Pelodiscus sinensis: one gene and its partners. The protein of the gene in region 3 interacts with the protein of the main gene of each other region in a biochemical or structural test. Links are inferred from orthologs where the notes say so. Each region holds a gene or a part of one and is shown on either strand. Other genes may lie near its edges.

Region 1 (7,847 bases), on a different chromosome or scaffold from region 3:
ATCATGGACTGCAGGCGGTAAGTGGGGGTGATCACGGCCTGCAGGGGGTAAGGAGTAGGAGGAAGGACAGCAGAGAAGATCAGTGCCTGCAGGGGATGAGGGGAGAGGAGATGAGTGCCTGCAGCAGAAGAGGAGGGAGATCAGTGCCTGCAAGGTGTGAGGGGGAGAGGTCAGTGCTTGCAAGGGGGAGGGACAGGCACGGGTGGGAGGTTACTGCCTGTTGAGGTATGAATGTCTGGGTATAGGTAGAAGATCAGTGCCCACACAAGGCAAAGAAGATGGGGTATGTGTAGGGGAAAGTGGAAATCAGTGCCTACTGGGGGGCTAGAGATGGGGGGGAGCAGTGCCTGAGGTGGTGGAATGAAGGGGGGAAGGGCAGGAGGAACCAGTGCTCAGGAAGGAGGGAGGAAGGAATGGGGAAGGGGCAGTGCAAGTGGAAAGGGATGGGGACTGTGTGAAGGGAAGGGGGAGCAGTGCAGGGGGACAGAAGAATGGGAGCAGTGCTGGGGGGAGGAGTACAGGAGAGACAGGGAGGATCAGCGTGAAGGAATGGGGAAGAACAGGGCCAGGTATAGTGTAGCAGGGAGGGAAGAAATACAGGGGAGGGGAGATGATGGGGGAGAGCAGGGCCAGGAGAAGGAATGCGAAGGGTAGTGCTGGGGGGGGGTGAGATAGTATGTGCAGTAGGGGGGAAGTGATGTGGAAAGCAGTGCCAGGGGAAGGGATGCAGGGGGAGAACAGTGCAGAGGTGGGAAGGGATGCTGATGGGAGGGTGTGTGGGGAGACAGGGCCAGAGGGAACAGACAGTATGTGCATGGGAAGGATGAGGGAGGAGAGCTGGGGGAGGAGGAACGGAGATGGGGGGGAGGGCAGTGCGTGCACAAGGGGGAGGGATAAGGGAGAGCAGTGGCGGGAAGGGAGAGTGGCAGGGAGGGAGAGAAGGGATGTGGGGGGCAGTGCTAGGGAGCAGTGGGTACATAGGAGGAGAGAGAGGGGAGAGCAGGGCTAGGACAAGGGATCAGGGGAGGCAGTTCCAGGGGAGGAGCAGCAGGGGGGGCAGCATGTGCATGGGGGAGGGATGTGAGGGAAGGTAGTGCTGGAATGAAGGCTGGGGTTGAGCAGGCCCAGGAGAGGGGAGGAGGGATGGAGGAAGAAGGAATGGAGGAGGGAGAGAAGGCCTTGAGTGGAGGGAAGAGTAAGCCCAGGGTTGGGGGAAAGAATGGGGAAGGAGAGCAGGCCCAGGATGGAGGAGGGTTGAGGGGGAAGTGCTGGGGGGGGGGGAGCAGCAGCATGTGCATAGGGGAGGGACAGTGAGAGGCAATGCAGGAGGGAGGGCTGGAGGAGTCTTAAGGAAGGTGGAATACATGGCAAAGAGCAGGCCCAGGGTGAAGGAATAGAGGAGGGCAGCAAGTGCATGAGGGGAAGCATGTAGGGGAGGAATAGTGCTGGGGCAGGGAAGGTATGAGAGGGGGCAATGCCAGGGAGATAGGGAGGAGGGATGCGGGGAGGAAGTGTGGGGGGGGGTGCAGGGAGGAAGTATGGGGGGATGTGGAGAGGGACAGTAGGGATGTGGGAATGGCATGAGGATGGGGGAGGGATGCTGGGAAGAGAGAGAAGGGATGGAGGGGGTGAGGAGGCAGTGCTGGGAGGAAGAGGGGGAAGGGATGTAGGAAGGGGGAGCAATACTGGGAAGGAAAAGAGAGCAGTGCCAGGGGGGAAGGGATGGGGGGAGGGCAGTGTCGGTTTGGGGGGAGGGGAGGAGGAAAGGGGGCAGTGATGCGGAGAGGGAAGAGATGGGGGGGGAGCAGACTCAGGGGGGAAGGGATGAGGAAGGAGGGGACAGTGCTGATGTGGGGGGAAGCGTGGGAGGGGGGAAGACATGTGGGTGGAGGCAGTGGTCGGCAGGGAAAAGGGATGTGGGGAGGCAATGGAGACGAAGGGGAGATGGGATGTGAAGGATAGTGCGGGTGGGGGGGGGCGGAGAGAAGGGATGCGGGGGGGCACTCCCAAAGGGGGACAATGCGGGGGGAGAGAGAAGGGATGCGGGGGTGGCAGTGCCGGGGGGCACTCTCGGGAGGGCAGTGACGGGGAGAAAGGCTGGGGGGCAGAAGGGATGCGGGGGGCAGAGCCGGGGGGAGAAGGGATGCGGGGGGCAGGGCGTGCACGGGGCACACCTCCAGGACAGCGCTGCTCAGCTCCCTGATAGCGAGACTGGGGCCCGGGCGCGGGCCCTGCGGGGACGGGGGGATCCCTGCCAACCCGGCCCGGCCCCGGCCCCGGCCCGAGTGTCGCGCTGCGGCCGGGGCCCGGCCGGGGGGTGCGGGCTGCGGGCAGGGGGCCCCGCTCCGTACCTCTCCCTTTGTGTCTGGCGGCTGCTCCGCGGCGCGGCTGGGCCTGGCCACTCGTGTCTCTCGCTGGGAGAGAAGCGGAAGTGCTGCAACAGCAACTCTTACCCAGGCAATGGCTGCCCCGCTCCTCCCCGGCCCCTCGGCGAGCCGGGGCTGCCGGAGCAGGCTGCCCTCACCCCCAGGGGGCAGGCGGCGCGGGGGCCGCGGAGGGAGGCTCCTGCGCCTGCCGAGGCGAGTGTGTGAGCGCGGAGAGGGAGAAATAACGAGCCGCGGGGCTCCGCTCCCTGCCCCGGTCTTAGGGGGCACTGGGAGCAGCTGGGGCTGCCCGAAGGCTGAGCCGGGCGCCTGCCCATTCCCCCCCCTGGTTCGGCCCCAAAGCCGCAGCTCCCCCCGGCCTGATCCCTCCCGCCGCCGCAACTTCTCACCTGGCTCAGTCCTAGGGCAGCGGCAGCGGCAGCAGCTTCCTCCCCGTCTCTCACCTGTCCCGGCCCGCACGCAGCAGCCGCTTCTCCCCTCCCCTCGCTCAGCCTTGACTCATCCTCGGCCGCCGCAGCAGCTGCTTCCCCCTTGCCCGCGCCCCGGGTTCAGGCTTCCATTGTCCCCACGCAGCCCCCCGCGCGCGCAGCGCCACACAAAAGGAAGGGCCGCTTGTGATGTCAGCAGCTCCTGCGGAGAGACGGCAGCAGGCTGGCCAGCTACAGGAAGGAAAAGCAGGTTGGATTTGGGAATGGAACAGGATCCGCAAAGGGGGAGCCTCCCAGCTGGGGCACCGCATTAAATAAAGTTGGGCCAGATGATGCTGCATCTCCAGTGGCTTCTTCTCCCCCCTCTCTCCTTCTTCTCCCCCCTGTCTCCTTCTTCTCCCCCTGCAAAGCCTTTGCAGATGATCTTTTTGCTACCTGCACAGCCCTAAGAAAAAATAACACTGACTTCAAGAGTGATTCACTGTACTTCTCCCATGGTAAGAAGACAGCAGTCAGTCACTTTTCTATGGGCCAAGGCATAGTGCCATAGATCTAAATGGAAACGCTGCACCAGATTTATTTCTGTCCCTTCTTCCTCCCCCGTTGACTTCAGCAGGTTAATATAACCGCTGAATGTGGTTCAGTGCTTTTAGTTTCCAAATGTATATCAAGAGATGACCAGACAATAACTATGTGATATAGTGTAGTAGGCAGGAAAATGAAATCACCACTGTGCATCATAATCATTAGTATTACTTTGCATTTCTGGAGATATTTAAGAGTAGGTTAGATAAATGTCTATCAGGGATGGTCTAGACAGTATTTGGTCCTGCCATGAGGGCAGAGGACTGGACTCGATGACCTCTCAAGGTCCCTTCCAGTCCTAGTGTTCTATGATTTCTATCCTTCCTTGCAATGGAGGATCTCAAAGCAATCTACAAACAAATGATTACAACTGCACAACACACCTATCAAGTATGATGGGTATGATTATTCCCACCAATCTATGTTTTGTAAATCAAAACCCATCTGTCTAGTCTCCCAGGATTTTCTGGGATGCTCAACACTTGCAGCTCTCTTGACTTCCCATTGAGTTTGGATCATAGTATCATACTATCATAGAGCTGGAAGAGACCTCAGAAGGTCATCAAGTCCAGACTCCTGCTCTAGGCAGGACCAATCCCAACTAAATCAACCCAGCCAGGGTTTTGTCAAGCCAAGACTTAAACACCTCTAGGGATGGAGACTCCACTACTTCCCTAGGTAATCCATTCCAGTGCTTCACCACTCTCCTAGTGAAATAGTTTTTCCTAATATCCAACCTGGACCACTCCCACCACAACTTGAGACCATTGCTCCTTGTTCTGTCATCTGTCACTACTGAGAACAGCCCCTTTCTATCCTCTTTGGAACCTCCCTTCAGGAAGTTGAAGGCTGCTATCAAATCCCCCCTTACTCTTCATTTCTGCAGACTAAGCAGACCCAACTCCCTCAGCCTCTCCTCAAAGGTCATATGTTCCAGCCCCCTAATCATTTTGGTTGCCCTCTGCTGGACCCTCTCCAATGCATCCACATCCTTTTCACAGTGGGGGGCCCAAAACTGGACACAATACTCCAGATGTGGCCTCACCAGAGCCAAATAAAGAGGAATAATCACTTCTCTGGATCTGCTGGCAATGCTCCTCCTATTGCACCCTAATATGCCATTAGCCTTCTTGACTACAAGGGCACACTGTTGACTCATATCCAGCTTCTCATCCACTGTAACCCCCAGGTCCTTTTCTGCAGAACTACTACTTAGCTGGTTGGTCCCCAGCCTGTAACAATGCTTGGGATTCTTCCGTCCCAAGTGCAGGACTCTGCACTTGTCCTAATTGAACCTCATCAGATTTCTTGTGGCCCGATCCTCCAATTTGTCTAAGTCACTCTGGACCCCATCTCTGCCCTCAAGCGTCTCTACCTCTCCCTCTAGCTTCATGTCATCTTCAAAGTTGCTGAGGGTGCAATCCATCCCCTCATCCAGGTCATTAATAAAGATATTGAACAAAACTGGTCCTAGAACTGAACCTTGGGGCACTCCGCTAGAAACCGACCGCCATCGAGCCGTTGATCACTACCCGCTGGGCCTGGCCTTCTAGCCATCTTTTTATCCATCTTACTGTCATTTATCCAATCCACATTCCCTTAGCTTGCTGGCAAGAATATTGTGGGAGACCGTATCAAAAGCCTTGCTAAAGTCAAGATATATCACACCCACTGACTTTCCCATATCCACAGAGCCAGTTACCTTATCATAGAAGTTAATCAGATTGGTCAGACATGAATTGCCCTTTGTGAATCCATGCTGACTATGCCTGATCACTTTCCTCTCTTCCAAATGCCTCAAAATGGATTCTTTAAGGATCCCTTTCATGATTTTTCCAGGAACCGAGGTAAGACTGTCCGGCCTATAGTTCCCTGGATCGTCCTTCTTCCCTTTTTTGAAGATGGGCACTACATTTGCTTTTTTCCAATCATTCGGGATCTCTCCCGATCTCCACGACTTTTCAAAGATAATGGCCAAAGGCTCCCTCATTACCCTCGGATGCATTAAGTCCGGACCCATGGATTTGTGTACATTTAGCTTTTCTAAATAGTTCCTAACCTGTTCTTTATCCACCAAGGGCTGTCCATCTTCATCCCATCTTGTGTCACTTAGCGCATTAGTCCGGGAGCCGACCTTGTCCGTGAATATAGAGGCAAAGAAAGCATTGAGTACTTCAGCTTTCTCCACATCATCTGTCACTAGGTTACCTCCTTCATCCAGTAGGGACCCCACATCCTCTGATCACCTTCTTCTTGTTACCATGCCTATAGAAACCTTTTGGCTACGTCTACACTGGCACGATTTTCCGGAAATGCTTTTAACGGAAAAGTTTTCCGTTAAAAGCATTTTCGGAAAAGCATGTCTAGATTGGCAGGATGCTTTTCCGCAAAAGCACTTTTTGCGGAAAAGCGTCCGTGGCCAATCTAGACGCGCTTTTCCGCAAAAAAGCCCCAATCGCCATTTTTGCGGAAAAGTTTTTAGGAAAAAGACTTTTGCCCGAACGGGAGCAGCACAATATTTCTGCAAAAGCACTGACAATCTTACATGAGATCGTCAGTGCTTTTGCAGAAATTCAAGCGGCCAGTGTAGACAGCTGGCAAGTTTTTCCGCAAAAGCAGATGATTTTGCGGAAAAACTTGCCAGTCTAGACACAGCCTTCTTGTTATCCTTCACATCCTTGCCAGTTGCAATTCTGATTGTACTTTCGCCTTCCTGATAACCCTATTGATGTTCAGTAATTCTAAAAAATAGACTTCCAGTCTCATGTTTTAATCAAATTACCTTCTGTAACACTTCATGGCTGCATATTTAGACACTCGCCATAGCTGTCACTGAGGACTGAGTCCTGGAATTTCAGTATCAAAAGCTAAAGAGCATCCTGAAACAAAGATGTTCTCCATTGTGTATGAATTTACAATTTCCTCCAAAATGGCTCTCCATATGGAACTTTTGTTTTTGTGGATCTCAGATTCTCATCAGCAGGGCTCGACAAACCGCTGCATCTACTTGCCCGTGGCAAGTAGATTTCAGCCGGTCGCTCCGAGCGCCACATTCACTGGTGCTTCGCGCATGCGCAGTGCCGGTCTGGCACCTGCGCAGTGTGGGGCTGGCAAGTGGCTCTTGCCGGGGTTTGTCAAGCCCTGCTCATCAGAAACGTATCTCACAGGAGGGCATGTAAAACAGGATGATGCATGTGGTCACATCACTCTCTAGTCACGGCTGGCTCCGTCAGTTCCATAGTACTATCTCACAGACAAAATAACTCTTCTCTTAGCTCAAACAATAGGGTCTGTGGTATTGGTGATCTCAGGTTAAATCTTCACAAAGAGCCATTTTATGACATGTACATCTCATAATATCCCATTGCTGCTTTGTTCACTCAACTCTACTCTCAAACCCACGGAATCCTGCCTCTCTGAGACTCCAGCATAAAGAAAAGTTGAATTTTCCCTGACAGTTGTACAGTCGTACACGTTAAGATCAGAAGGGACCATCAGATCATCTAGCTTAGAGAGAATCTCACCACATCCACACCAAGCCCAACAAACAGAATCAGACAAAAGTATTATAGCCCTTAGGACATTAGGGCCAAAGTGCCACTAGTGCCCAAGGCCTCTATAATGGCATGGAATTGATTGAGATCCTAGCAAATGACCTTTATTGTACTGTACTTCATCCTCCAATGGCAGGTGAAAAAACCCCCTAAGGTTACAGCCTACATAATCTGAGGAAAATTTGTTCCTGACCTTGAACTAGTTTGTCCCTGTACATGTGAACCAGACTCATCAACTCAGCAGCTGAGAAGGAGAATTCTCAGTACTACCTCAGAGTATCAGCTGATCCCATCCATGGCCATGGCCATGGCCATAAAAAACCCCACCCGGAATATTTTGGGTGAAAATGTATTCCTTCTTTACCCCTTCAGGTGACTAGCTGAAGCCTTGAAGCATGACATTTTAGGACAGGAACCAGAAAGGACTCCAAAGCAACTCCATCAAACAATTCCACTAAAAAATGTATCTAACTTTATCTTAATACTAATTAGTCCCCCTCCCACCACTATCCATGCTTCTGATGGTTAAAAACCTTCTTTTAATTTCCAATGTAAAATTATTCATGGACAGTTTACTCTCTCCAGAGAATATGTCATGTCATACAGGAACAGTTGACCTGGAGATGGCACTAGAGGTGGGCTTGTCTTTGACAGTTATTTTAACAAGGCCTTACTTATGACCAAAATGTTAAATTAATAAATGAAGGCTTGGCTGGATAAGGAAAATCATTGACTTTGTTAAAAGTGTTTGGACCAGCTGAATCTCAGTTGCCTGTGGATGCCGATGCCACCTATGCGGCAGAGATATAATGTTTTGTAACTCATCTACGCCATGTAGCGAAGGCCATTTGGTAGAATTTAGCACTCACCATCTATACCCAATGGTTATTTATTGA
Region 2 (7,431 bases), on a different chromosome or scaffold from region 3:
CAAGTGCCTCAAAATGGATTCCTTAAGGATCCTTTCCATGATTTTTCCAGGGACTGAGGTAAGACTGACTGGCCTATGGTTCCCTGGATTGTCCTTCTTCCCTTTTTTGAAGATGGGCACTACAATCATCCGGGATCTCTCCTGATCTCCATGACTTTTCAAAGGTAACAGCCAAAGGCTCCTCAATGACATTTGCCAACTCCCTCTGTACCCTCGGATGCATTAAGTCCGGACCCATGGATGTGTGTATGTTTAGCTTTTCTAAATAGTTCCTAACCTGTTCTTTACCCATCAAGGGCTGTCCATCTTCATCCCATCTTGCGCCACTTAGCGCATTAGTATGGGAGCTGACCTTGTCCGTGAATACAGAGGCAAAGAAAGCATTGAGTACTTCAGCTTTCCCCACATCATCTGTCACTAGGTTACCTCCCTCATCTAGTAGGGGCCCCACACCCTCTCTGATCACCCTCTTTGTGTTAGGTTTCTACAGGCATGTTTTCTTGTTATCCTTCACATCCTTTGCCAGCCGCAATTCCAATTGTGCTTTCACCTTCCTGATACCCCCCCGGCATTCTCGAGCTATACATGTATAGCTCTCCCTGGTCATTTGTCCAAGTTTCCACTTTTTGTAAGCTCCCTTTTTGTGCTTAAGTTCACCGAGGATTTCCCCTGTAAGCCAATCTGGTCTCCTACCATGTTTGCTTCTCTTGCTACGCATCGGGATGGTTTCTTTCTGTGCCTTCAATAAGGCTTCTTTAAAATACTGCCAGCTGTCGTGGACTCCTTTCCCCTTCATCTTAGCATCCCAGGGGATTTTGCCCATCAGGTCTCTGAGGGAGTCAAAGTCTGCTTTTCTGACGTCCAAGGTGCATATGTTACTACTCTCTTTTCTTCCTTTGGTCAGGATCCTGAAATCTACCATCTCATGATCACTGCTTCCCAGGTTGTCACCCACCTCTACTTCCCCTATTAGTGAGCAAGCCAGTACTGAGCCGGGCTGCTGGGCAGCCTGCTAAAAATTATGGTGGGCGGGGGCAGGGATGTGTGTAGTCTATAGCATAACCGATAAGCAAAAGCTTATCGGTTAATCGGCTACACTATTACATCCCTAACTTCAATCAAGTGTCAACAACATCGAATTGACTGTTATCTGGTTTATCATCCATTCTTTGCCAGGAAGAAAGGTCTGAGTGGGAGCTATACCTATTGACAGCAACATCACTGGAGGTTTCTGTCCTCCAGACCTTCTGTCACCTGAATCCCAGCTAGAGATGATCTTCAAAGAGAAAACAGAACTATAAGAAATGAGGAGAGACGGTCCAAAACACTTTTCCTTTTCTATTTGCTCACAGCATCAGAAACAATTGAAGGAACACTGAACTGGAGTGGAAGGCAGGTTGGCTGAAAGGATTCTAGCCTGCAAGACTGCAAAAGCATGTGGTGAGAGACATTTTACTTTGAATTCACTTAGCCTGTTACGTTAATTAGCTGTGTTTTGCCTCTTGCATTTTGTAATAAATTCTGACTTTTATGCCTCGTGACTTGTAATCACTTAAAATCTTTATTTTTGTGGTTATTAAGCTTGTTTTATTATTTTATCTAAACCAGCATGTTTGGATATTTTGGGGGGAATCTCCACTTGAGATACAGGGTTTGTGCATATCACTTTCTATTTATGAAATGATGGACTTTATAAGAGCTTGAATTGTCCAGTGGAGTGCTGGGCTATACGAGATGTATATTTGGGGGGAGGGGGAGGAAGGGGTGGCAGAGTCTGGGACTGGAGACTTTGTTGGTGTTCTTCTGCAGTGTAATTCGTAAGTGACCATCTATAACACTTATACTGTATAGCTGGAAGCAAGCTACATTGCTGGAGGTTTTTTTATGAACAGATCAGAATGGTTGTTCTCACAGTGAAGGCAGCGTGAAAGGTTCAAAAACTGAGCTGGACACAGATAATGGGTAATGTCACATTCATTCCTATTTCATATGTTGCAGGTCAAAGTCAAAATGAAAAGACAAAAAGCAATTCAACAACGTTTCCACTCACAGACCTCAAAAAATAACCATGATGAAGAATATACCAAGAATCAGGAATGTACCAACATATCATCTGAAGGTTCAGTTGCTGAACTGTATCTACATTTGAACAGCTCAAAGCACAAATACAACTAACTACCTGATGAAGAAACAGCATCTCCACAACCTGAAGGCAGTTCCTGATGTTTGTGGGTCAAACTTTTACTACTTATTGAAGTTACAAAAGGGGCCATTGGTGCACCTCTTGCAAAACAGCTTGTGAAGAAGGAAATCTTCCCAGGCTAGTCAGTAACACCAAGGAGCCTGGTTTCCTGATCAATCAGCAAAGCTAATGCTGACAAACTAAGCGACAGGGCTGCAAAACACCCAGGCTCTGCACAGCACCAGCCTGCAGAAAGCCCGAGAGCTTCGCAGGCAGCGTTGTCACTTGTGTTACCAGGACAATAAAGTCCAACAGAAAATATGTCTCGGTCCTGTAGAAAGGGTAAAGAGTACGGACTGCTCCCCCAGCCGCACCTACCAAGGGGGGGGCCACTCTCTCCCCCCCCCCGCATCACTCCTCCCATGGGGATCACCCTCTCCCCTCTGTCCCCCTCCCCCGTGTCACTCCCCCCACGTGGGCCACTCTCTCCCCCGCGTCACTTCCCCCCACGGGGATCACCCTCTCCCCCCCCCCGCGTCACTCCCCCCACGGGGATCACCCTCTTCTCCCCCCGCGTCACTCCCCCCACGGGGATCACCCCCCCCCCGGGCGCCCTACGCAGCTGGGGGCGGGGCCTCAGGGCGCGAGGCGGACCCCGCCTCCTCTCACCCGCAGCCTCAGGGCGCCGCTGCAGCCAAACGACGGGCGGGCTCGAGGGCAACACGGGCCGGCGCGGGGCCAAACCACGAGGCGGGACTTCCGGGGGCGCCTAGCAACCAGGCAGGCTGACTCCGGGTAGCTCTGCTGAGGTGCCGATCTGCGGGGAGCGCGGGGCTGATTGGCCGAGAGGAGCCCAAGGCTCCGCCCAGCGACTTCGAATCTTAGGAGCCAGGAAGAGAGGCGGGCTGGGATTGGAGGAGTCGCCCTGGGCCCCGCCCCCACAGGGGTGGGGGGAGTGAGGGAGTTACGAGACCCGCCAGGCCAGCCCGGGCAGGCGGAGAGAGTCGAACCCAGTGCGGGGGGGGGTGTAACCCCGCTGGGGATACAGCCCCCCCAGACAGTGCACGTGCACACCGCCAGAGCTACTGGGGCACCGAGGGGCTGGGGCTCCGCCTTGTTTTTGCAGACACACACCCACACACACACACACACCAACACACACACACACACACCAACACACACACACACACACCAACACACCAACACACACACACCAACACACACACACATACACACACAGCACACCCACACATACACACACACACACACACACCAACACACACACACACACACCAACACACCAACACACACACACCAACACACACACACATACACACACAGCACACCCACACATACACACACACACACCAACACACCAACACACACACACCAACACACACACACATACACACACAGCACACCCACACACACACACATACACACACATACACCAACACACACACACACACACCCACACACACACACCCACACACACACACACACCCACACACACACACACACCAACACACACACACCAACACAGCACACACACATACACCAACACAGCACACACACATACACCAACACACACACACACACACACACACCAACACAGCACACACACATACACAAACACAGCACATACACCGACACAGCACACACACACACATACACACCAACACAGCACACACACACACACACACACACATACACAAACACAGCACATACACCGACACAGCACACACACACACAGCGCAGACACACACACACCAACACAGCACATACACCGACACAGCACACAACACACACACCAACACAGCACACGCACACACCAACACAGCACACACACACAAACACAGCACACGGACACACAAAGCACCTGCATGCGCACACACACACACACACTAACACAGCACACGCACACACAAACACAGCACACACACAAACCAACACAGCACATACACACACACAAACACAGCACACGGACACACACAGCACCTGCGTGCACACACACACACACACTAACACAGCACACGCACACACAAACACAGCACACGCACACACACAGCACCTGCGTGCATATACACACACACACTAACACAGCACACACACACACTAACACAGCACGCGCACACACACAGCACCTGCGTGCACACACACTAACACAGAACACACACACACAAACACAACACGTGTACACACACACACACTAACACAGCACACACACACTAACACCAACTTTTCATAAGAAACTGGCAGCTGCCCATTGCTTTCCTGCTGTCGAGAAACCCCAGTGATGCTTTCCCCACCCCTCTGGGAGCACTGATCATCGGTCCCTGCTTCTCGACCTGCTTACCCCACCCTGTGGGCCTCAGCAGCCACTATTGCCCCCCTGGCCCTGAGGGTGTCAGAGGAGCTACCGTTCTGCTGATGGGGCCACAAGGGGTCAGCCACTGCAGTGTGAGAACTAGTGACTGACCCTTAGCTGTGTCCGAAGGCATGGCTCTCCTAACGCAATAACTGCACCAGGGCCACTCACTCTTGTGCAACCTGTACAAGCTTTTGAAAATGTCAATTACATTTGAGTATAGAAAAATAGCATGTAAAAAAATAGTGAAAAATGTTGTGTGGGAGCTATTATGAAATGTATTATAAAATAGATCTCACAATTTTTCAGTAATTTTGCTCTGAAATTCCCCTTCCCCCAAAAGCACCAATATGACATCATAGTAGAGCAGTTAAATAACCCAAACCTGATCACTAGAGTACTTCATTGTAAGATAACCGACTTCTTCACTACTCATGCTGCCAGCCTTAGGATCCATTCAGCTCTTTAATAACTGAAGTTTGCCCTGAATGCATTAAATATCTTAAAATCCATCAAAATACATACAGCTATACCAGCTGTTATAGAGAAGAGGCTGCAGTTTCTTTTGCCTGTGGATTCTGCCCTGAAGTTCTAAGCCTGTCTAAAGGTTCCTCCCTCTGGTTGGATCAGTTACATGAAATTGTATAATCACAATCGCAGTCTTTGCCAGCAGAGCTGTAGTGACCTAAATTCTGCCTGATGACCCCATTCTTTATCTTATTGTTATATAAGGAAGCTGGCATAACGTAGAGATCCTTAGGAAGGAGCTAGGGCTGATCCCAGCAAATCTCCTGAAGATCCCCAGGAAGGAGACAACGGCTGATTCTGGGAAGGGCCAAGGATCACCAGGAAGGAGGTAAATAACATGAAACTATCTGCAAGTAAATCAGGAAATGACAGTCTTTTTTGCTGGGCCAGGCTTGTGGCCATGGGATATTTGCAGATTTTTAGGGGGAACCCTGCTCCCATCCAGTCTGCCTCTATATTCAATATAGTGATAATGATGTTACTGTGATCCTTACTGCACTGAAACAGGCTGACCCCTCCATCAGAGAGGGGACTGACACCCTCTCTGTCCCTGCCCTATCCCCCTTTGCAGTGAACCCGATATGTGCCAATCTCTATTTCATCCACCACCGAGCACTGTGGGACAGCACTACAGGCCCTAGGCCTGCTACCCCCTCATTCTTCAGCCACCCAATGCATTTTGGGAGAACCACAGACTTACCATGGGGCTCTAGTCTGACTTTTAATCCAACAGGCTGGTATCCACCTTTGGCCCTTAAAGGTTCTGGGCCAGTGTTGCTTATTGAAAGCAATCAGTACCAGGGTTGTTGTTGTTTTTTTTAATAAATCATACTAACACATTTACCCAGCATTGCTTGGGTAAAGAGGGGCTCAGGGCAGAGGTGTAGGGGTGCAGGAGTCAGGGCAGGGGGTTAGGAGGTGGTGGGTGTCAGGGCTGGGGTACAGTGTGCAGAAGGCTGTCCAATCCCCAGCCAGCAGTTCCCCGGAACTGTCTGAGTTTTGTGGTAGCATGGTGCCTGGCCAGCGGCTACCTGGGGCTGGCCAGCATCATCCTGAGCACTGCCCCTAGCTAGCCACTCTTGCACCCATGCGCCTGCCCCCCTGTGATCATTCTGCAGTATAACTATACTTGCTAGCAGATTTCTCCCTGTGTGTTTTTATGAGAAACAATTGTATTCCAGGCAAATCCCATTGTCCTAGTGCCTTGCTTTACGTTATGATAAGAGGAAGCTGCACACCAGATTTGGTGGTATTAGCTCTTATCATTTACAAGGAGTTCTTGAACAGACTCAGAAAACTGGACACACACACACTACATATGTAGTAGGTGAAAACTTTTAATTTAAGATTTAAAAATGAGAAGAAATTATCACTGGCACTAAGCTATCATTATTAGCGCTAAATACCTCCATCAAATCAACAAGTCATGCCTGAAGTTAGTTGCAACCATGGACTGGAATTATATCAACAGATTAGTACCAAAAGTAAGTTCTAAGTGGGAAACCGTGTTTATTGACTCAACAATTTAATCAAAATCAATCCAATTTATCATTTGAATCCAGTTAAATAGCTTAATAATGAAACCAGGTCATCAAAAGTCCAAACCAAAACCTCAGAACAAATTATAAAGCATGCTTCTTAGGGTTTCCCTACATAGGGAAGTTACATGAGTGTAAGACAGGGTGTGAATTTGCAGTGCGGTAATTACGCCAATAGTTTCGCATGTGGACACTTGCTCCAGTTAAGAGTGCCTTTTTCTGTTTTGCTTGTCATTTTGGCAGGGGATAAAAGCTAAACCCAAAGGCTATGTCTAGACTGGCAAGTTTTTCCGGAAAATCAGCTGTTTTTCCAGAAAAACTTGCCAGCTGTCTACACTGGCCGCTTGAATTTCCACAAAAGCACTGACTTCCTACTGTAAGAAATCAGTGCTTTTTGCGGAAATACTACGCTGCTCCCGTTCGGGCAAAAGTCCCTTTTGTGCAAAACTTTTGCGCAAAAGGGCCAGTGTAGACAGCTGAGATTTGTTTTGCGCAAAAAACCCCCAATTGTGAAAATGGCGATCGAGTCTTTTTTGTGCAAAAGCGCGTCTAGATTGGCCATGGATGCTTTCCCGCAAAAAGTGCTTTTGCGGAAAAGCATCCGTGCCAATCTAGACGCTCTTTTCCGAAAATGCTTTTAGCGGAAAACTTTTCCGTTCAAAGCATTTCCAGAAAATCATGCCAGTCTAGACGTCGCCAGTTAATCTTAAACCAGAATAAGTGTCCACCTGAGGGGCTCCATCAGTACAGTCTAACTACAGCACTTTGAATTCACACCTGACCTTATTCTGGTATCATTTACCCCAGTAGGCAAA
Region 3 (7,709 bases):
AAGCGTCCCTTCCCCTGCCAGCCCCACAGCGCCTCCTTCGCTGTCAGCCCCCCACAACTCTGCCACCTCCTTCCTCAGGCTGTCTGCCCCACATTAGCCAGCTGCTCCTCCCCCCCCCCCCCCCCCAGCCAGCTTGCCCCCTCCCCTCCCCACCCTACTGGGCACAGCACAGAAGTGGCCACCAGAGGGAGGATGTGAGCTAAAGAAACCAGCCAGCGAACCTCCCAAAACCCTGGCGAGTGGGCTGGGAGCCGGGGCGAGTGGCTGGGAGCCGGGGCGCCTGGGTTCTCCCCCCGGCTCCGGGAGGGGAGCATGGCCTGGTGGGCAGAGCAGGGGATTAGCCTGGCCCCGGTGGCAGCGCTGGAGGGGGGCCCGGGGCTGGGGGGCAGCTGACCTTGAGGTTGCGGTGCACGATGTGCAGGCCGTGCAGGTAGGCCAGGGCCTCCAGCACCTGCCGGACGAGGCTGCTGGCGTCTCGCTCCGAGTAGCAGCCCAGGTCCAGGATCCAGTCGAAGACGTCCCCGCCCGTCGCCCTGCCGGGGCAGCGCCGCACTGGCTTAGCCTGGGGGAGCCCGGAGACCCCCCGTTCCCAGCCACGGAGCCTGCTCCCCCCCGCCCAGGATGGCCCCTCGGACCACTCCAGGGTCCCCACGGCCTGTACCCCCTTTGCTCCCTCTGCTGCAAGGGCAGGATCGACCCCCCCTTCCCAAACCCTGGCGCCCCCCAGCCACGGCCCCAGGCTCCCCTCCCCCCCCAGCCACGGCCCCAGGGTCCCCTCCCCCCCAGCCCTGCGGTGCCCCCCCTACTCACAGCTCCTGGATGATGTAAAATTCCTTGCGCGTCTCAAAGGTGTCGATGAGCTGCAGGATGTTGGGGTGACTCACCCTGGGGGGAGGGAAGGGAAAGTCAAGCCCACGGTACCGCTTCCCTCAGAGCCGGTGCCACCCCACCCCCAAGCCGGGACACCCCCCCCTCCAGCCTGCCCCACGTTGCTGCAGGGACCCCCCCCCCCCCCGCGGGGACCCACCCTCCCCCCGCTCAGCACGGCCAACGGCAGCAGGCTCATGCTCACGTGACAATTCTAGCAAGCGCAAGGACGCTGGGGCCTGCCTCAGTTTCCCTCCTCCATGCACCAAAGGGGAGAGACTGGCTGGAGGCACTCGCAAAGAAGCAGGCACCCCCGGCAGGGCCAGGGAGCTCAGGTGGACACACCAGGGGCCAACAGAAAGACACAGCAGGGCCAGAAATATGCACCCTCAAGAGGATTTTGTGAGGTCAGGCCTGCCTCAGTTTCCCCCTGGTACGTTGCCTTGCTGCCAGGGGGGCTCAGGAGGAGGAAAGCGAGGTGCCGAAGGCGCTCAGGGCCCTCGCGTCCGTGGGCACCTACATTTTCAGGATGAGGATCTCGTTCCGGGCCGCCTGGCGAACCTTCCTGCCGTCCCGCTTCCGGAACCGCTTGCAGACGACGAGCCGGTCGCTCCGGCGCTCGCGGGCCAGGCAGAGCTCGCAAAACTCCTTCCTGGGGGCGGAGGGGGGAGATCGTACAGAGCCCCCCCTCCCATAGCCCCGCCCCCCAACCCCCAGCACCACCCGTTCTCACAGTCATCCTAACTGCAACCACCCTTCCCAGCCTGCCGCGTGCCTCAGTTTCCCCCTGCTGGCTGCTGTGCTCCTGGATGATGTAAAATTCCTTGCGCGTCTCAAAGGTGTCGATGAGCTGCAGGATGTTGGGGTGACTCACCCTGGGGGGAGGAATGGGGAGTCAAGCTGCCTGGCCCAATGGGAATCTGCCACGCCCAGGACAGAAGATCAGGCCACAGATGGGGGTGCTGGGGGAGCCAGTCCTGGGGAAACTGGACAGGCTGGGCGGACTGGGACAGCATTCCTCTCCAGGCATCGCGGCGCCTGGGCCAGGCCTAGGGGGTCCCAGCGAGCACCCAGCCGCCCAAGTGCCAACCCGCTGGGCCAGCCACGTGCCCCTCCCCACCGGGCCACGCCAAGGCCTGCTCCGGCCCTGGGTCCAGGTTCCTGCCTTGTCCCCCCAGGCTCCCGGGAAAAGTGAGGGAGGGCGGCCCCTTTGCTTTCAGGTGGCTCCCCTGGAGCCTGGTAAAACGATCCACCTCCCCCCTCAGCCTCTCTCCCCTGCTTGGGAAACTGAGGCAGAGAACGACCGATTGCCCCTGCGGCTGGGGCAGCGGGGGGGGAGGGGCCCCCAAACACTCACACGCTCAGCAGCTCCCGATCTCGTACTTGTCCGTGATGTCGCCCACGCTGCTGTAGCTCTTCTCCTCCCGCAGCCGGAGGCAGCCCCACGGCATCCTGGGGAGACACAGCCAGACCCCTGCTGAGCCCTTCCTTCCCCCTGCCGCCCAGCCCCCCTGCTCCGCCAGCCAGCCCCACGGCATCCTGGGGAGGACACAGCCAGACCCCCTGCTGAGCCCTTCCTTCCCCTGCCGCCCAGCCCCCCTGCTCCGCCAGCCAGCCCCACGGCATCCTGGGGAGACACAGCCAGACCCCCTGCTGAGCCCTTCCTTCCCTGCCGCCCAGCCCCCCTGCTCCGCCAGCCAGCCCCACGGCATCCTGGGGAGACACAGCCAGACCCCCTGCTGAGCCCTTCCTTCCCCTGCCGCCCAGCCCCCCTGCTCCGCAGCCAGCCCCACGGCATCCTGGGGAGACACAGCCAGACCCCCTGCTGAGCCCTTCCTTCCCCTGCCGCCCAGCCCCCTGCTCCGCCAGCCCAGCCCCACGGCATCCTGGGGGAGACACAGCCAGACCCTCTGCTGGGCCCTTCCTTCCCCTGCCACCCAGCCCCCCTGCTCCGCCAGCCAGCCCCACGGCATCCTGGGGAGACACAGCCAGACCCTCTGCTGAGCCCTTCCTTCCCCTGCCACTCAGCCCCCCTGCTCCGCCAGCCAGCCCCTCTATGCTGGGGCTGGCAGTGCCCGGGCCCTGAACCCCCCTTACAGGATCTGGCTGGGGGATGTCCTTCATGGCCCCCTTAGATCGGGGCTAACCCAGGAGTCCTGGCTCCCAGCCCGGGCATGAAACCAATGGTCAGCAGCTGCCCCCTGGGGTCTGATACCCCGGCAGGCGGGGGGAGCCCAGGGCCGGGCTGGGGGGCTGCGGGTGGGGAGGGAGGGGCACCAGCATGCGGGGGGAGCCTAGGACGGGCTCGGGGGCTGCGGGTGGGGATCAAGGGGCACCGGCGGGCGGGGGGAGCCCAGGGCCGGGCTGGGGGGCTGCAGGTGGGGAGGGAGGGGCACCAGCATGCGGGGGGAGCCTAGGACAGGCTGGGGGGCTGCGGGTGGGGAGCGAGGGGCACCGGCGGGCGGGGGGAGCCCAGGGCCGGGCTGGGGGGCTGCGGGTGGGGAGCGAGGGGCACCGGCGGGCGGGGGGAGCCCAGGGCCGGGCTGGGGGGCTGCGGGTGGGGGAGCGAGGGGCACCGGCGGGCGGGGGGAGCCCAGGGGCCGGGCTGGGGGCTGCGGGTGGGGAGCGAGGGGCACCGGCGGGCGGGGGAGCCAGGGCCGGGCTGGGGGGCTGCGGGTGGGGAGCGAGGGGCACCGGCAGGGCGGGGAGCCCAGGGCCGGGCTGGGGGCTGCGGGTGGGGAGCGAGGGGCACCGGCGGGCGGGCGGAGCCCAGGGCCGGGCTGGGGGGCTGCGGGTGGGGAGCGAGGGGCACCGGCGGGCGGGGGGAGCCCAGGGCCGGGCTGGGGGGCTGCGGGTGGGGAGCGAGGGGCACCGGCGGGCGGGGGGAGCCCAGGGCCGGGCTGGGGGGCTGCGGGTGGGGAGCGAGGGGCACCGGCGGGCGGGGAGCCTAGGGCCGGGCTGGGGGGCTGCGGGTGGGGAGCGAGGGGCACCGGCGGGCGGGGGGAGCCCAGGGCCGGGCTGGGGGGCTGCGGGTGGGGAGCGAGGGGCACCGGCGGGCGGGGGGAGCCCAGGGCCGGGCTGGGGGGCTGCGGGTGGGGAGCGAGGGGCACCGGCGGGCGGGGGGAGCCCAGGGCCGGGCTGGGGGGCTGCGGGTGGGGAGCGAGGGGCACCGGCAGGGCGGGGAGCCTAGGGACGGGCTGGGGGGCTGCGGGTGGGGAGCGAGGGGCACCGGCGGGCGGGGGGAGCCCAGGGCCGGGCTGGGGGGCTGCGGTGGGGAGCGAGGGGCACCGGCGGCCGGGGAGCCTAGGGCCGGGCTGGGGGGCTGCGGGTGGGGAGCGAGGGGCACCGGCGGGCGGGGGGAGCCCAGGGCCGGGCTGGGGGGCTGCAGGTGGGGAGCGAGGGGCACCGGCGGGCGGGGGGAGCCCAGGGCCGGGCTGGGGGGCTGCGGGTGGGGAGCGAGGGGCACCGGCGGGCGGGGGGAGCCCAGGGCCGGGCTGGGGGGCTGCGGGTGGGGAGTGAGGGGCACCGGCAGGGCGGGGAGCCCAGGGCCGGGCTGGGAGGACCCCGCCTGCCCCCCGCCAAGCGCCGATTGGTGACAACTGGACAGATGGACCCAGAACCCTCCTATCGCCCCGGTAACCCCAAGAACCCTGGCTGTTGCCATGGCAACCTGGCTACAGCCTCTTGAAGGCAACAGGAGCCGGAACCTGGTGTAACCTGTGGGGAGGGATAACGGGGGGGGGGGGGGGGCATGGGAGGGAACAGCCAACAACCAACAACTGCAACACGCAACCCAGACAGGTACACAGCACCCCTCCACACACATACACCCAGCATCCCCCCTCCTGCACCCCCCACAACCTCACCCCCCGACACCCCCCACAACCTCACGCCCACAGAACTGCACACAAACCCCACAATCACCTGACACTTCCTGCAACACCCCCGTCCCTCAACACAACCCACAAACCTGCACAACCATGCACATACACTCCACAACCCCCCATGCCCCACACCACTGCACCCCCCACAACACACACACTACAACTCCCCCCACGCTCCCCGATACCCACCTACTATAACACTGTGACACCTCCGCCCCCCACACCATGAAACCCCCATACCTAACCCCACTGCACACACACCCCACAACTACACACTGCGACACTTCCCCACAAACACACATACACACAGTGGCACACACCACACAACTTCCCCACACTCCGCAACCATATACCTACTGTGACATACGCCCCACAACTACACACACAGCATAACCACACACACACCCATGACACTCCCACAACCACATCACAAACACACAAACACTCACACACTGACAAATACCCCACAACCACACATACCCACAACTGCACATATCTGAAAACTGCACTATAACAAATACCTCACAACCCCACACGCTTCAACATTCCACACACAACCCAGACATATACACCATACACATCCCAGAACTGCACATAAACTGACACACTCCACAATTACACACAGTTCACAACTGCACAACCACACACACACTGCAACACCCCACAATCTCCCCACCCTGACACATGACCCACAGCCCCCCCCGCACACTCCACAACCACAAACCCCAACCACACACACACACTGCACCCCACATCCCACAACCACACATACACTCCACAACCTCACATCCATAGACCCCACAATTCCTCCAAACTGGGACAGAACTCCCACAACCCTACACACCCACTGTGACACACTCCACAAATGTACACCCACTGCACCACACAGCCCACAACTGCATGCACACTATAACATATGCACCACAACCATGCACACATGTGCACCGCACAATTGCTTGCACACAGACACACACCACAACTGCAAACACACCACACAATCATGCACATCACAATTACATATGGACTGCAACACACCACAACCTCACACACCACAACACTCACATACTAAACAATTGCATGCATACACTGCAACACTCACACCCCACAACCACACACTGTGAAATCCCCATCCATATGCACACAACCCGCCATCATAGACTCACTTTGACACACACCCCACAACTGCACACACACCTTGATGCATACATTACTGCACACACACACTGTGATTGACACCACAACCCTGCATACAAACACTGCAACATACCTACAACACCAAGACAACTGTATGCTCACGCTGTGACACACACTACCACACTGTGACGCATGCCCCACAGTCAGGAGCACACAGTGCAACAGATACAACACAGCCGCATTCACGCACTGTAATACACAAAAGACCCCAGCCTCGCAGACACACACGGAACATGGAAACAAACACACGGCAACCACACAAACGCAACAAGGAACAGACACACAATCCAGCTGGGCACGAAGACACCACACAGCCCAAGTGCAAGGCCACACACAACTCAGCGTTGTAGCCAGACAACAGATGTGAGACCACCGCAGCCAGCAGCACACCCCACAGCACGGGGCCCAGCCCCGCCAGCAGGGGACACACACCCTGGGGAGGGGTTGAGAACTGACAATGGCAGGGAGCACAATGGGAGCCCCCCAGAATGCCCCCTGCCACACCCCCAAGCACAGCGCCCCCTAGTGCCACCCTTCGGCGGGGCCAACCTTCAGCTACTTTTAACTTTGCCAAACTTCACCTGCCCCAGACTGCCCCACACAACAGCCCACCCCAAATGTGCCCACAGCCCTGCTCCTTTGGGGGGCGAGGAGAGAGCCCAGGCGTCTGGGCTCTTAGCCCCCCCCCAGCTCTAACCACTGGCCCCCATTCCCCTGGAAGGCAGGGAACGAACCCAGGCATGCAGGACCACAGTTCCCCTGCTCCAACCACTGGCCCTCACTCCCCTGGGAGGCAGGGAAGGAAGCCAGGCGTCCGGGCTCGTAGCCCCCCCCCCCCCAGCTCTAACCACTGGCCCCCACTCCCCTGGAAGGCAGGGAGGGAAGCCAGGCATGCAGGACCACAGCTCCCCTGCTCCAACCACTGGCCCTCACTCCCCTGGGAGACCGGGAGGGAAGCCAGGCGTGGGGTCTCCCAGCCCCCCTGCTCTAACCACTGGCCCTCACTCCCCTGGGAGACCGGGAGGGAAGCCAGGCGTGGGGTCTCCCAGCCCCCCTGCTCTAACCACTGGCCCTCACTCCCCTGGGAGACCGGGAGGGAAGCCAGGCGTGGGGTCTCCCAGCCCCCCTGATCCAACCACTGGCCCTCACTCCCCGGGAGGCAGGGAGCGAACCCGGGCGTCCGCCCCCCCTGGCCCCGCCCCGCCCCGCCCCGGCTTACCTGGGTCCGGTCACCGCGCCCCGCGGGCGCAGGGGCCCATGGCCGGAGCGCGGGGCGCTGCGCCTGCCTCCCCCGAGCCGCCGGGGAGCGAGTCCAGCGCAGCCCGGAGCCGCGCGGGGCGGAGCGCTCGGCGGAGCGGAGAGAACTAGGTCGGGGGCAGCGGGGCGGGAGCGGAGAGAGTCGGGGCGGGGGGGAGACGGGGAGCCCAGGGCCGGGCTGGCAGGGACCGCGGGGGGAACCGAGGGGCCCGGCAGGGCTGTGTTATAGGGGGGCAGTGGGTCAGGAGGGGCCCGGCAGGGCTGGTTATGGGGGGGGGGCAGTGGGTCAGGAGGGGCCCAGCAGGGCTGGTTATGGGGGGGGGGGCAGTGGGTCAGGAGGAGCCCAGCAGGGCTGGTTATGGGGGGGGGGCAGTGGGTCAGGAGGGGCCCAGCAGGGCTGGTTATGGGGGGGCAGTGGGTCAGGAGGAGCCCGGCAGGGCTGTGTTATAGGGGGGCAGTGGGTCAGGAGGGGCCCGGCAGGGCTGGTTATGGGGGGGGCAGTGGGTC
Region 4 (7,526 bases), on a different chromosome or scaffold from region 3:
TGCAAAAACGTTGCAGTCTAGACGTACCCTGAAAGGTAAGAAGCAGAGGGGTCTCTGCAGATGTCCTGAAGGATGGCCCAGGACACCTCTGGAGGGGATCAGTCTCACACCAATTCCAGCCCCACCTCTTTATGCGGGCCTCCCACAGTGACTGCAACCTCTCCTCCCTAGGACAGGCAGTCACCTCCTTGGTGGAGGGAAGAAAGGAATAGGGGGAAAAGAAGCAAGAGAAGGAGAGAGAGAAGGAAAGAGGAAAAGGGAAACCTAAAAGGATAAACCCCAATGTCCTCAGTGATTCTCTGGGACAGAGTCCTTGGTAGGAAATCAAATTATCTTAACTGAGTGACTGCTACACCTAGAATTCAGCTGGTATCAGGTGGATCAGACAGAACAGGTTTCAGACCTGTCTGAGGATCTTACCTTCTATACAGGGATTACAAAATCAGTAGTAGGAAAGGAGAAAACTCTGATGAGGTTCCTCTTCATGCTTATGTCAATTAATCCTAATTCTCTCTGTCCCCAAAGAGAGACTTTAAAAAGGAGCCTTGCTGCTTCAGAGCCATGGGTGTGTCTGAGGTTGTCCTGCCTTGCACCTCTGTCCTGCCTGGCTGATGTCAGGGTCTCTCTATGAGGTCACCATCTCCCCACCAGTTTTCCCCAATAGGCTGAGGTCCTGCAACAGGCCTTTGTGATATCACTGCTGCTCCCACCTGTCCCCTATAAGGCTGGTGTCCTGATCCTGGCCAGCCTCTTGGATGTTTGAATGGCTTCCCCTGAATCATCCCACAGCTGAGTCTGGGGATCAAGCCGACAGCATAGTAAAGCAACAGAGGCTGCTCTCTGTGGCACATACAGTTTTTCATTGATTAGTTGACTTTAAAAGGCCAGAAGGAACCATGAGAGCATCAAATCTGACCCCTGAATATCCCACCCATCCTATATATCCCAGTTGCTAAGTTTTGATCCAAGCACATACCAGAAAGGCACGCAGTCTTCATTAGAAGACATCTAGATATGGAGAATCCATCACTTACTTCAGTAGTTTGTTCCCATGGTGAAGCCTAATATTTGTGCCTTATTTCTAATATGAATGTATTTGGTTTCACCTTCCAGCCATTGGCCTTGAAAGTAGGAATAAGGGATCTTCCGGAAAAGGGCTTATTTTCTGCAAAATCCCGTCTAGACTGGTGCTTTTCTCCGGCAAAACCCCGAATCGGAAAAAAGCGGCAGCCATGTTCATGCAAATGCCGTGGGGGATATTTAAATCCCCCGCGACATTTATAATTCCGAAGTGTCTCATTAGCATCCCTTTTCCGGAAAGGGGTGCCAATGGAGACACAGCCTTCTGGAAAAGCTTCTTCTGAAAGAAGCCTGCAGTCTAGACATAGCCCCTATGTCACTGCCCTGATCTCAGTCTTATTTATCTCTCTGGTAGTATTTTGTCACCCACACGTTACCAGCAGTGATTTTATACTGACTTCCAGTTCATTGATAATTATTTAAACGATTAATTCTCGAGAGCCTCTTCAGAGCCTACTACCAAGTACCTGCTCCTTACAGCTAAGCAGGAAAAGGCCTTCCAGCCCTGATCTTACATAGGAGCTAAGCACAGAACATATGCTTAGGCTCTGAACAAAAAGTGGGGATCAACAGCTTACAAATGCACTATTGGCCCCAATTGTGTGTCAGGGTATGTCTACACTGCGATCAGCACCCCCACCTGCACAGCCGTCAATGACTGTAACGTCATCATCGGGCGCACGGACCAGCGGTGCTCTAGGCAACTGCCTAGTTTGCCTAGGCTCATGGGCCGCCCCTGCTCATGGTCACAAAGCCAGGAAAATGACCGGTTTGATTGACATCTTGGTCCCTAGCTCTCATTATCCTGGCCTCTCGGCTCTAACTTTAGTCTCGGCCAAACTATAGGTTTTCTTCCTGCATAAAACAGATTTTGTGTAGCCATCTGGCTCAAATGCATGTGGATGCTTCAAAACAGTGTGCTCTGGTGAAGTCACATATTCTGGGGTTGATGGAGGGACCACATAGTTGGTGTAGGAAAGGAATTTTCTCATGTGTCAGATTTACAGAGGGAGTGGAAAGTGGGGCAATGTTGCCTTCCTCTGCAGAATGGGGCCTGGGTCACGTGCTGGTTTCAATTAGTGTAAATGGTGTATTCTCCATAACTTGTAGTCTTTTAATCATGATTTGAGTAATTTAGCCAGTGATTGTAGACTGTAACAGAGTCAGGATGGAGGAAGTTCTGTGAACTGCAGCCAGCAGGGGGTCAGACCAGATGATCATGATGGTCCCTTCTACCCTTAGGCTACGTCTACACTGGCCCCTTTTCCGGAAGGGGCATGTAAATTTCACTAGTCGTCGTAGGGAAATCCGCGGGGGATTTAAATATCCCCCGCGGCATTTAAATAAAAATGTCCGCCGCTTTTTTCCGGCTTTTAAAAAAGCCGGAAAAGAGCGTCTAGACTGGCCCCGATCCTCCGGAAAAAGTGCCCTTTTCCGGAGGCTCTTATTCTTACTTCAAAGTAAGAATAAGAGCCTCCGGAAAAGGGCACTTTTTCCGGAGGATCGGGGCCAGTCTAGACGCTCTTTTCCGGCTTTTTTAAAAGCCGGAAAAAAGCGGCGGACATTTTTATTTAAATGCCGCGGGGGATATTTAAATCCCCCGCGGATTTCCCTACGACGACTAGTGAAATTTACATGCCCCTTCCGGAAAAGGGGCCAGTGTAGATGTAGCCTTAAAGTCTAAATCTGACACCTGCCTTTTACCTTACCCTGGATCTCGGACTGCTACTACTCTGACTAATAGGCATGACCGACCAGCCTAGGAATGTAAGGGTATGTCTAGACAATGGCACTTTTTCATGATACAGCAGTTATTCTGAAATAGCGTTTTCCATGTCTTAACAGCATGCTTGTTATTTAGAAATGTAGTCAAAATAACGGGCTTGATATTCTGACGTCCTGGTAAACCTCGTTCCACGAGGCTTAAGGGACTTGTCATAATAGCAGTCTATTTCGGAATTTGGCCCTGTATAAACAGCACTACATCTCAAAATAAGCTGGAACTAAGCTACACAATTTGCGTAGCTCAAATTGTGTAGCTTATTTTGAGCTAGCACAACTGTGTAGACGCACCCTCAGTGGGCTTTGTTTGAGGAGGTGGTGTTATACCAACAGAAACACTCTGTGCATATAAGCTGCATCTAAAGAAGGGGGCTCTGCTGCTGTAGCCATGTGAACATAAGTTTTGTAGTGTAGCTGCACCATCAACTTTAATGTAAAACGTATTTCAAGATCTTGCCGCCTATCTACACTGGCCGTGAGTATTTGCACAAGAACACCGACGTTGTAATGTACAAAATCAATGCTTCTTGCGCAAATACTCTGCTGCTCCCGCTCATGGATAAGCCCTTTTGCTCAAGTATTCTTGCTCAAGAGGCCAGTGTAGACAGGCAACGTTAATTTCTTGCGCAAGAAAGCCCGATGGCAAAAATGGCCATCGGAGCTTTCTTGCGCAAGAGAGCGTCTACACTGGCACGGATGCTTTTGCACAAAAGCACATGCCAGTGTAGACACTCTCTTGCGCAAATACTTTTAACGGAAATTTTTTTCTGTTAAAAGTATTTGCGCAAAATCATGCCAGTGTAGATAGGATACTAGATGGACCTTTGGCTATTCTGTTTCAGCTCTCCTCCCTCATTAATCCTCTTTGTGGCGCTGCTCAGGGAGGGGGCAGGACTTGAGGAAAGGGTGGAGCATGACTGGTGACTGCAGGGTGGGAGAGGCCAGGGCCAGATTATCCATTAGGCACAACAGGCACAGTGCCTAGGGCCTACGACAAAGTTTAGGGCCTACGAAAATTCATAATGGACTTGAAAATAAGAAAACTGAAAAATCAAATATTACAATTGTAACGGCAACATCTTCTTACTTCCCTGATCAGATGATTAACTGCCGGGTGCATCCTAGGTATCATTGTAATATACATCAAAATGGCTGCGATTTTAGCATGAAGTATCATGAATTGCTCACAAGGTGCAGCACTTTCAGGAGCAAAAACTGAAGTGGGCAATATTAGGCATCTATGCACCAGGCATTTCTCCCATATCTATTTAGAATCCAATTGAAAGCCTATAATTATGAGTGGCCTAGGGCCTACTAACCTTAATCCAGGCCTGTCCCTGGCTCCACACCTGGGACGCTGAGGCACGTGCGCGCCCCCCCAGGGCGAGCCCTGTGGAGCTGCGTCTAGGGCGGGTGCCATGGCGAGCACGCGCGGGCGTTTGACCGCAGCCTCGCCTCGCTGGGCAGGTGTCTGGGGCGTGGCAGGGCGTGAGGCGGGCGGGGTGCGGGGCGGCTGCGGGCGGGGGTCGGGGGCCGAGACCAGAGGCAGCGCTGGGGGCTTTAGGCGGGTCGGTCTGGGGGCCGGGCGGTACCGCACGCGCCTGGTTACGGCGACGGCCCCTGAGCGTCAACTCTCGCGCCTCCCCGCAGCCGCGACTACGCTTCCCAGAAGGCTGTAAGTCGCGGCGTGACGTCATCGGAAGGGAGCGCTCGGGTTCCTTCCGGTTGTGCGCGAGTGTCGAGCGGAGCCGAGACCCAGCGGCGCTTGAATCCCGATAAGACAAGATGGCCGGGCTGCCCCGCAGGATCATCAAGGTAACCGCCACCCCTCCCCCACTGCCCCTGTGCCGGGGCGCGGAGCGCGGAGCTTCCCGTGAGCGGGGCGCGGCGCGGGGAGGCGGGCGCTGCCGACCACGGGAGCCCGGGCAGGCCCTGCCGGGCTGGGAGCGGCGCGGGAGCGGGCGGGGCCTTGGCCCGCGGAGCCGCCATTGGCCCCCCGCCCCCGGGGCTGCGTGACCGAGCGAGGCGCGGAGGCCCCTGCGGCTGCGGTGGCGGCGAGGCCCGGGCGGGGTTTGGGCGCCGCCGCGGCGCGGGGAATGAATGGACAGGTGAGGCCGCGGCCTGGGCGCCGTCTCTGGCCGGGGAGCGGCGTTAGCCGCGAGCCCCGTATCCGCCTGCCGGGGCCGCCCCGGACTTGGTGCCTCTGGCACGCCCGTGACAGCGGCAACGAGGGAAATGCGGCACCAGGCTGCTTACCGCGGCGTGCACCAAACCCTGCTCCCACCCGCCTTCTGCAGGGAGAGATTGTGACACACCCACCTACTCACCCACTGTTGGAGCCCATCTTCAGCCTCGCAGTCGGGGTGCCTAGTCTGCGCTAGTCACGGTTTGTGAATCTTTTGATGACTCAGGACTGACGGTCTGAGGAAGTGAGGTTACGCCAATTCTGATGACTGTCCCAAATAGGAATTAACAGGTTGAGGTGACTGTCAAGTATGTGTTTTGCTTGAATTTTAACTTTAAAAAAAAAATAACTTCCAGCAAGTTTGCTCTTTATGTATTTCTATTTTAACACTTAGAAATAGGGCTGAAATTATTTTGCTCGTAGATGCTTCTTCCTAATTAGATGGCAATTTGTAGGTAGTGAGGAAGAAAATTCTACAATGAATTTCTCTATGCGTTTAGTGTAGTAAACAAGAATTCAGAGTAGTCTTGAAACTGGACATTAAATGGAGATGTAAGAACAATAAAGACCTCTTGATTTCTGGATATTTGGGGGGTGTGGGTATATGTAAATAGAATATTGTAGATATTGTAAGTATGGATCTTTCAGTAGTTATATATTTAAGTATGTGTTAATGATCAAGTAGTGTGTTAATGATCAAGTTCTTAGTTTGTAACTACATTCTTAGAGTGCAGTGTGAATCCAACAAACTTCATAGATAGTACTAATTTGATGCTTGCTGAAATATGTAGTAATATTCTTACTTTACCACTTTGTTTAGTTCAAGCCACTGAGTGCCCTAACTGAATCTGACACTTCTTTTTATATCAACTTACATGAATATTAAAGCAGACTACCCAAATACGTATAGCTGTGAAATCCTACAATAAAAAATTAACAGTGCAGCATAACATTGATCTGATATACCTGTGTCCTCTTGTTAGTACAAAATAAATACCTTTCGATAACTCCCAACTCGTACAGTTTAAAGATTAGTCTGAATTCCTACAGTATCTGTAACTCCGACTTTTAAGAAGTCATGTGATGAATAGTTCTATGAAAGTAACTTACCTTATTTGAGTAAGGTTTATTAGGTTTGGATGGAAATAACATGATTGTTTCCTGTTACACTGAATGAAAGTCAGACAAATAACTTATAATGCTTTGAAGCTGTTCTTGGCTGAACACACTGAAAGTTTGCATCCAGTGCAAACAGTGAAGGACAGGAAAATATGCAAGTTAATATGTCTTAAAATGAAATTATATGAACTCGTTGGGATAACAAAATGAGAATTAAAAAGAAGAAACATTCCACTAAAACTTTGTAAGAGAATTAAACCTATAAACTTTATTACCTTTTTCTTAATGTTTACAAGCCACATTGAGAATTTTAAGGACAAAATTATATTAATGGAATTCAGTTACATAGTTCTCTCAAAGTACAGCAAACTGGAAATGTGACTGAAATGAGCAAAGGTAGACTATTACCCTTTAAATATTAAATTAATATTTCATTTAAATTTTGAAATTGACAACCTTTAACCTTGTTGTTATAGAGTAATCATACTATTTTTTGTTTATATTTGTAGTAGGGATGTAAAATCCCTTTTAATTAGTTAACTGATTAAATGGAGGAGGGTGGGGACTGCTCTGGACTGCTGAAGCAGCCCCCTGCCCAGGGTGGGCTACTCTAGCTCCTGTTGGTTATTAGTTATGATTAACAGCTTCTCCCGGTCAGTGCTAGTAATCTTCAGAACGTGACACAAGTGCAGCTTTAATACAATGCTTTTATGTACACCAGTTAATTATTTTATTTGAAACTTATTTTAGTGATTTACATAGATATAGTGATTGCTTAGGCCTCATCTAAACACAGATTGTACATTTTTAACTAAATCATTGTCTAAATATACTTGATTAATATGATTCAGCCCCCTTTTTTGGGCACTCTTGAGTGCTTTATATTGACTAACTTTTTAGCCATTTTAAGGGTGCCCATTTGGGGTTACACTGATTTAACTGATCTAGTTGCTAAATTAGTCTGTCTAAATCAATTCCAGTTTTATGGGCAAAAAAAGCCATACTATATATATCTTTTATTGGATATTTCAAATATATACAGGCAGTCCCCGAGTTACGCGGATCCGACTTATGTCGGATCCGCAGTTACGAACGGGGTTTGCTGCCTGTCTCCCTGGTCTGCTGGAAACCAGCAGACCAGGGAGACGGGAAGCAAAGCCTCTGAGGACGCCGGCAGCGGGACAGCCGCGGCGCGTCTGGGCTGTCCGCTGCCCGTGTGCTCCGCGGCTTTGCTCCAAGTCTCCCCAGACCAGGGAGACGGGGAGCAAAGCTGAGGAGCACGCGGGCAGCGGACAGCCCAGACGCGCCGCGGCTGTCCCGCTGCCGGCATCCTCAGAGGCTTTGCTCCCCGTCTCCCTGG

The links.
Region 1: of the proteins of UBA1 (region 3) and ubiquitin-conjugating enzyme E2 E1, one has a biochemical effect on the other in vitro, tested with the Homo sapiens proteins (9 studies listed by BioGRID, with this or other methods). The link is inferred for Pelodiscus sinensis from reciprocal best matches to the Homo sapiens genes UBA1 and UBE2E1.
Region 2: of the proteins of UBA1 (region 3) and UBE2T, one has a biochemical effect on the other in vitro, tested with the Homo sapiens proteins (4 studies listed by BioGRID, with this or other methods). The link is inferred for Pelodiscus sinensis from reciprocal best matches to the Homo sapiens genes UBA1 and UBE2T.
Region 4: of the proteins of UBA1 (region 3) and UBE2N, one has a biochemical effect on the other in vitro, tested with the Homo sapiens proteins (10 studies listed by BioGRID, with this or other methods). The link is inferred for Pelodiscus sinensis from reciprocal best matches to the Homo sapiens genes UBA1 and UBE2N.

Annotation. Positions count from the first base shown.
Region 1 is NC_134712.1:189,268,464-189,276,310, forward strand, and holds the start of ubiquitin-conjugating enzyme E2 E1, read right to left. Parts: upstream 3,006-7,847; 5' UTR 2,774-3,005; intron 2,585-2,773; exon of another isoform or gene 2,352-2,584; intron 1-2,351. UniProt on the Homo sapiens protein: Accepts ubiquitin from the E1 complex and catalyzes its covalent attachment to other proteins. Catalyzes the covalent attachment of ISG15 to other proteins. Mediates the selective degradation of short-lived and abnormal proteins.
Region 2 is NC_134737.1:14,427,870-14,435,300, forward strand, and holds the start of UBE2T (ubiquitin-conjugating enzyme E2 T), read right to left. Parts: upstream 3,010-7,431; 5' UTR 2,852-3,009; intron 2,504-2,851; exon of another isoform or gene 2,180-2,503; intron 1,277-2,179; exon of another isoform or gene 1,204-1,276; intron 1-1,203. UniProt on the Homo sapiens protein: Accepts ubiquitin from the E1 complex and catalyzes its covalent attachment to other proteins. Catalyzes monoubiquitination. Involved in mitomycin-C (MMC)-induced DNA repair.
Region 3 is NW_027465846.1:72,456-80,164, reverse strand, and holds the start of UBA1 (ubiquitin-like modifier-activating enzyme 1), read right to left. Parts: upstream 3,007-7,709; 5' UTR 2,992-3,006; coding exon 2,965-2,991; intron 2,320-2,964; coding exon 2,225-2,319; intron 1,520-2,224; coding exon 1,388-1,519; intron 886-1,387; coding exon 811-885; intron 534-810; coding exon 395-533; intron 1-394. UniProt on the Homo sapiens protein: Catalyzes the first step in ubiquitin conjugation to mark cellular proteins for degradation through the ubiquitin-proteasome system.
Region 4 is NC_134711.1:79,917,239-79,924,764, reverse strand, and holds the start of UBE2N (ubiquitin-conjugating enzyme E2 N), read left to right. Parts: upstream 1-4,519; 5' UTR 4,520-4,647; coding exon 4,648-4,677; intron 4,678-4,943; exon of another isoform or gene 4,944-4,958; coding exon of another isoform or gene 4,959-4,970; intron 4,971-5,189; exon of another isoform or gene 5,190-5,207; intron 5,208-7,526. UniProt on the Homo sapiens protein: The UBE2V1-UBE2N and UBE2V2-UBE2N heterodimers catalyze the synthesis of non-canonical 'Lys-63'-linked polyubiquitin chains. This type of polyubiquitination does not lead to protein degradation by the proteasome.